2 linked regions of the Drosophila melanogaster genome follow. Changing the gene in region 1 together with any one later gene gives a genetic interaction. Each region holds a gene or a part of one and is shown on either strand. Other genes may lie near its edges.

The links.
Region 2: of Col4a1 (region 1) and org-1, changing one suppresses a phenotype caused by changing the other (phenotypic suppression), as found in Drosophila melanogaster (one study listed by BioGRID).

Annotation. Positions count from the first base shown.
Region 1 is NT_033779.5:5,027,510-5,031,267, forward strand, and holds the start of Col4a1 (collagen type IV alpha 1), read left to right. Parts: upstream 1-2,099; 5' UTR 2,100-2,237; exon of another isoform or gene 2,238-2,301; intron 2,302-2,627; 5' UTR 2,628-2,708; coding exon 2,709-2,728; intron 2,729-3,232; coding exon 3,233-3,281; intron 3,282-3,345; coding exon 3,346-3,758. UniProt on the Drosophila melanogaster protein: Collagen type IV is specific for basement membranes.
Region 2 is NC_004354.4:8,453,447-8,457,204, reverse strand, and holds the start of org-1 (optomotor-blind-related-gene-1), read left to right. Parts: upstream 1-2,135; 5' UTR 2,136-2,910; coding exon 2,911-3,073; intron 3,074-3,758. Other genes in the region: CG32713 (uncharacterized protein), read left to right, coding at 1-199.

The DNA of each region.
Region 1 (3,758 bases):
GTTCGGCCGTTCGCGATCGGCTCTCGGCCCACCAATACTATCGCAAGTGGAAGTTGCAGCAGTGTGAGTGTAGTAGGCACAGGCCAGGGACAGGCCCGGATGGATGTTTTGGATGGAGATTTGGATGGAGGTTTGGATGTAGATGTGACTCCGGGCTCTGGTTATGGTTCGGAATTTAGCACTTTGACGCCTTGAAACGAGGAAATGAGGAGCAGAGCCCTCTAACCAAATCAAAGCGGCCCGATTCTAAGCATACAAATTCTATTTCCCATTTTGGTACCGTATCCCTGAAGGGGTATGATCAATCAGATTCTCACTTTGTTCTTTTTATTAGGCACGTCTCTTGGGAAAATACAAATTATTAAATAATTTATTAATTAATGTTACTATTACTAACTATTACTAACAGGCACATACCATTTATACATAATAACCATCCGCATATAACTTAAATGATAGTTCCAACTAGCGACACACGATATTTCTTGCGGGGTAAAAGCTATTCTAATACTCAATCCCAGCTATCCTAGTGATTTCAATACAATTAGATGCTAGTTTGTTTGTCGCGCTTCTCGTGATTAGGTTAAGGCTTTTTCATTTAGTACTTACATATATGGCATATGTGAGGCTGATAAGACGGATATGGCTGAGTATTTCCTGTTAGAACGAACTACTGATCAACTGAAAACCGAACATGAGTTTTAAGCTCCAATAAGTCCGACGCAGAAAAGCCAAATGGGAACCTTTCGAAATTCGAGCCTGATTTTGGGTTTCGGGGCCACAGTGTTTTGAAATAAGTCTTGATAGGGCGGCTATAATCAAGGCCTCGTTCTAGTTGGGAAAGCTCTTTTGTTCTAGGGTACGTGCAAGTCGGATATGGCCCAGTGGCCTGAATATATGTCTTCTCAGGAAACTGCTGTGATTAGGATATTAAATGATGTCGCACTTCGGCAACTTAAAATCTTATTAATTTATGTTTAGAGCGGTATTAGTAAGTATTATGTCGTACTTACTATCAAAATGAATGGATCTCAATAATTATTATTAATTAAATAACAATAATTATTTTAAGTATGTATAAAACTTGGCACTTAAAATGAAATTTCATTTAAGATACATTTAGTTTTAATAAAGCGTAGATAGATACAAAAAAAATCGAAAAAAGACCATTCTTTGAAACAATAATTGCATCGACATACTAAAATCAATCAAACTAAAATATTTTGTTTTAGAAAAGAATGGAATGATTTGAATAATCAGTTATATATAGCAAATAAAAATATACCAAGTAAAGCTTAAAAAGAGATTTAATCTTCAAAACCTTTGTCAAATTAATTATATCAGTTTTGAAAGCTAGAGAATATTTTTAAAACTTAGAAAAGGACTATAATCCTATTAAAAGTAAAGTATATGCCAATAAAATGTTTACACATGTTTTTGTTATCCTTTAAGTTTTAGATATTTTTATCATACTTATTGTAAGTACACACAAAATTTTGATGAGGTTATAATTAGAACATTGGCCTGATAGCGAAGCCTTCGGAATTTCCCTTGCCCGAGCACCGAAAAAAGTCCAAAAAGCAGGAGCCGCAGGGGCGGACCAAAACGGAAGCCATGTGCCCGATCTCAGGGCGGGGGCTATCAGCTAATTTTGAGATGGGAGCTGGTAGCTGCGATCTGGAAGCTGGGATCTGGGAGCCGGAGAGCTGGTTGAAGGTGCTCCCGGGGAGGTGCTCCGGCGGAACGAAGCTGATGTGCTATTGAGCAACTTAAGTCGCATGTGGCATATCAACAGCAGCGACGGACTTATCGCCAAGTTTCATTCATTCCGCAGCGACTATGTTAACTTGTGGGATTAGTGTTGCTACATACGACGACCCGTCGCCCATCCGTTCTATATGCCATGGTGCCACCACCCACCTCCCACCAGCCACCTCGCAGCCATCGCAACCGATCCGATGCCCATCCAATCCCCGTCGAATCACACGGATAGTGTACATGAGCCGTAGACCCGATCGTCGAGATCGTGCCAAGCCGAACGATCGACGAGTGAAGATCGGGGCATCGGCGTTTGGCTTTTGGATCGCTCGAACTTATACTATAATTAGTCGTGTTCCGTCTCCCCGAGTAAGTAGTAGTCTGGTCTCGGTCCGGAGCTGATCTGGCCAGCTGGTTTTAGTCTTTAGTCAGCGCTGTGGAGTGGTGATCGGTTCGGATCGGATCGCTCGGTTGTGAATGTGTGTTTCCATTAGGGTCCCGTCCCGTCCCGTCCAACCGTCCCTTAAATAGGATTTGATTCCTGTAAGGAACTGAGCTTTTACAACAACAAAATAATATAAACATAAAATATCTTAATTAAATCAGGAAGAACGCGTACTATTAATTGAAAATATCCAGCAAGTCGTTGTGCGAGTCTCGTACCAGTTCCAGTGCCTCTCAAACTGTCGCGTGTATATGCTTGGAAATGAAATGAAACGAAATACAAGAATTAAATCGTTGAAAAAAAATAAGCCAGCTCGATTTTCCCACAAATATTAAATAAAATAATATTCCTCTAAGAATATTTCCAATTTATTTTGCAACTGTTGCGAAATTAAAGTGCCCAATTCTCTGGCTCATCTTTCCAGGCCCAGCGACGGCAACATATAAACTTCAAATTCGACGAGGACAGAGCAAATAATTGTGCAGGCTTAAGTGCATAGGGCATCATGTTGCCCTTCTGGAAGCGGTAAGAAAAATGACAAAAGTTAGAAAAATAATACAAATGGTTGCAAAAATTTAAGTTAATCAAAGAAAGCAATTGTTAATTATTAAAAACCATGACAATAATACTTACTTAACAACTAATAATACTCTATTTAAAAATTTAAAATTTTTTTGAAATTTTTAATGATTAAAACCCAGTTATGGCCTAAAAAAGTATTGCCAATTTTTTTCTTTCTAATCCATTCAGAAAGAGCAAATATTAGTTTTTAAATTAATATTTTAGATATCAGCAATACAAAAATACATAATTTAAAACATCACATTTGTTCAATTTTTTTTTAATTTTTCGAAGCGCGATCTCTTAAAAACTTGTAAGCTCTCTCTTAAGCGCCTTTAGCAAACTCTCTTGAATTGACGGCTTAAGAGAGAGCTGCCAATCGAAGAGAGCTATGTCCAATTAAATAGCTAGACTGATAAGACGAAGCACAGTTCCTAACCCTCCTGATCTTCGTCGACTTCTTTGCAGGCTGCTATACGCCGCTGTGATCGCGGGAGCGTTAGTCGGTGCCGACGCTGTAAGATAACCGTAGCCCATGCCATCCATCTGGACATTGAATAATATACTCCTTTTCCCCGCAGCAATTTTGGAAGACGGCTGGTACGGCCGGTTCGATTCAGGACTCCGTGAAACACTACAATCGAAATGAACCCAAGTTCCCAATCGACGACAGTTACGACATTGTAGACTCTGCCGGCGTGGCGCGCGGCGATCTGCCGCCCAAGAATTGTACGGCCGGATATGCGGGCTGTGTGCCCAAGTGCATAGCGGAGAAGGGCAACCGTGGTCTGCCGGGCCCTCTTGGACCCACGGGATTGAAGGGCGAAATGGGTTTCCCTGGCATGGAGGGACCATCTGGTGACAAGGGTCAGAAGGGTGATCCCGGCCCATACGGACAGCGTGGTGATAAGGGTGAGCGCGGATCGCCTGGTCTTCATGGTCAGGCTGGTGTACCCGGAGTCCAGGGACCCGCCGGCAATCCCGGAGCCCCTGG
Region 2 (3,758 bases), on another chromosome or scaffold:
TCCACCGGACGACGAAAGTCAACTAAACTTCAACGCAGGTGACGATGATGATGCACTGGAGGCCCAGGACATGACTGGACACGATTTGTCCTCAATTCAAACCGATGATTTATCGCTCAAAGGCCAGACGGAACCGGAGCTGGATTGCTCCATTGGATCTCATGGATTCTCTGGATCTCAAGAAGAAGGCCACGAATAACGACAATGAGAAGTAGACTGTTGTAAATTATCTTAAATTAAAAATATTTAGTCGTCATTTAATTTCGAAATTCCTTTAAGCCAAACGCTTCGATTTGGAATCTAAATTTACGATACAATAATAAACCTTTAGTCGATTTCGTCCATGATGGAAATTTTACAACAAATGCATTACACTCATTTATATATAATATTTATATAATCGATAAAAAAGATCGAATATCGAATTTATGAATCATTTAAGTAATTTCTTCGAAGCAGTTAGCATTTCATTTCCAATTGTTTACACTCAAACAAATAATTAACGACTAAAATGGCATGGCCAATGCCATAACAATTTTTCAAATTTATGTATTATTTATGGACTGCATGGTACGATCTGCTGCGATCGAAATGCTTCTGAAAATGCCAAAAAAAAGGGGAAAAAAAATTAACTCAAAATAATTGTAAACAGTAGTGCGGCAAACGAAAATCAGGGAAAAACATTAACAAGCAGTTGTTCCATAAATCCAGGACGCAACTGGATGCGTAGATTTATATGGAAGGGGTGAGTAGGAGGGAGGGTAAACAAATCGATTCACTTGGAGACCCCGTGTGCCAGGTAACATATACTACTACATGCTATATATAATAGATATACCATCTATATGTATACATATGTATGTACCCACTAATTGGAATGGCCGTGGCTGATGAAAAGCAGACGCACCCGGTTAATCGGGCTGTTTCACTTTGATCGGTCCAGTTTTCTCGGCTTCCCCGGATCTCCATCTCCGCTGGGCCCACATTCCGGGCTCCAATGGCCAACAGACGCCATTTTCGACCGCCCATCTCACTCCCTCTTGTGGCGGAGGTGGTGGCCGCCGCTACACTGAGCGCAAATGTTGCTCACAGCTAATTCAAATTTCGTATGAAAAATTAGCAGTAATCCTTTTTTTTATGTATTAAGTATTAATTCATATTCTCTTCGTATTTCTTATGTTTAATGCAATTTTTTCCAAAAACTTATGATTATTCCAAATGAATTGAATTTTTTGGGTGCGCCTTGCCAACGTCTTAATATTCCGTTTTCCTTTTTACGGTTTATTTAGTGTCGAGGTTATGGCGCAATTTGTATTTATGGCCAACAGCAGCAGCAACATCTCGGCTGCACTGCAGCATTGAGCGGAGCACCGCGAGATCCACGAGCAACCAGCACCACCATGCGTGCGGCAGTCCAATTAAAAGCGTTTTCCAAATGAGGCCCATGACTCTGGTCGGCCACCCACTCCACGGGCCACGCCCACTGATCAGCGCGCCCCCCTGAAAAAAAAGAGAATGAAGAAAACAATATGCAAAAGTGGGGATCACCTGCTCCTCCTCCTTCTTGATCTTCTCCACCGCCTGCTGTTTATGGTCAAAGACCACGCCCCTTCAAAAAAAAAAAAAAAAACAAGAGAGAAGTAAACAGTGGAGCAGAAATTAGTGAAACGTGTGGAGAGTACAGTGATCTATATACTCTAAAGGATACCTCTATACTATTTACATGCATTAAGTTATTAATATGATCAAATTAGATTACATAAATATAACTATGTTAAGCATAGTTTGCATAAAACCAAACAAAGAGTTGCAGATAGCAAACCCCAAGTGTTCACCAAGTTCTAGGCCTCACTGTAGCCACATCTGGTAAATGCCTTGCGCGCACCCTACGCTCAATTCTGCGCGGCATATTCATCCACTTGATACTAGGCTAGATCCCAGGCGAGCCAACACATGTCGGTGCGATCCAAGGAGGAGTAGAAGGAGGAGAAGGAGAAGGAGGAGGAGGAGGAGATGGAGGAGGAGGAGGTGGCCGTGCGGCCATTGGTGGATCGATTGGTGCGGCTGGCGAGTCTAAATTTGGATGCTGCGGCCGGCGATTGGCGGATAGATTTCTCGATTTGGGGAGATGGTCCGTACAATGCGGCATCTTGGGATCTCGAGAGGCAGCGATGCATCTGCCCAGCAGCAGCAGCAGCAGCAGCCGCAGCAGTAGTTGTTCTCATTCGGCGGACCAGCGCTTGACGGAACGGATGTGTGCGTGATCAGAGATCTAGGCATCCAGAGATCGCATTCGAAATCAGATCAGATCGATATATCCGCGAGATATAAACATAGGATACTATACGGGATAATCAGTTCGCACTTGGCCGGAAGAAGGTGGCAATTGAGACAACTCAACGCTTTCTGCCAGTCGAATTAGAAAGAAAACAAATAAAAGAAGTTCAAGTCAATCAATCAGCTAACACAGGGAATTAAAAACAAAAAACAAAAAAACAAAAAACAAAAAACTACAATCGGGCAAATTTTCGCCAGTCAACGCGATCGGGCCATAAAAACAATTCGAAGAGAATTAATTTGATTTTTCATTCGATTCTTGAACTCGATCTCGATTCTGATTGACAACAGCGAAAGGTTGGCGTTGGATTTTCGCACCACTACATACTTTTTTTTTGCAGTGCACAGTGAGTGAGTGAGTGAGTGAATGAGTGAGTGATTGTGTGTGGGTGCAATAATCAAATTTGACAACTGCGCGAATAACGTTCGAGATCAAAACAAATTGTGCCGGAATAAATGGAATAAATGGGCCAAGAACTCGCTGCGATTTCCTTTCTTCCACTGTGAGCATCACATATCCAGCCATCATATATATATATCATATATATATATATTCCAACGATCACGCTCGCCATGACGCACCTGATGGGCCCCACTGAGTGCGCCGGCGCCATGATGACCACCACATCCATGCAGTTCCTGGACACCAGCCTAACGGACTACAACTGCTATGGCAACGACTACTGGACATCGCCGTACATGACCGGCGGACTCAGTCCCATGAAGCAGATCGAAGGTGAGTCGTTTGAGTTGACTTAAGCTGGAGAGGATTAGGCAACTCTACCGCGGAGTATTTTAAATCGGATATTAAGATATTAGGTTGTGTACCTTTAAAAGTCGCAAACAAGCATACAAGTAGATTTTTAATATGTTATAACTTTTGCATGAACTTTTACTTTTGTTTAGACTTTTAAGTCCTGTAAAGTATATTTTTTTTTTACTATCTGTTTCAAAACTTAAACTAGAAAATAGGCTTTTAGTTTATATTAGCATACTACTAGTTAAACATATTTTTCCAAGATTTTATTAGCTTTACCTTTCAGTTCAATCGAATGTACAACTAAAACTTCTTAAATTCAAATATATGCTTTAAATATTTATCAAAGAAGTATCGCGTAGCAAACAAAAGGCGAAGCAACAAAAAAGTCATATTTTCCATTTGACTATTCGATATTATGTTTTTTGTTCAAAAATCAGGCAATGGAATTTTGCTAGCAAACAAATGTATATATTCCATATCATTTGTCTGCCTGCAAGTGACCCAAAAAACTGAAATGGAATCCGTTTGCGATAGAGTAATTAGCAAAATACACCGAGCATGGCAGCGGCGGCACAAATGACATCCAAAAGTTTAAAAAAAAAAAAACTGAGAAACTGAGAAACTGAAAACCAGAGAATCGGAAAACCAAAAGATCAGAAAA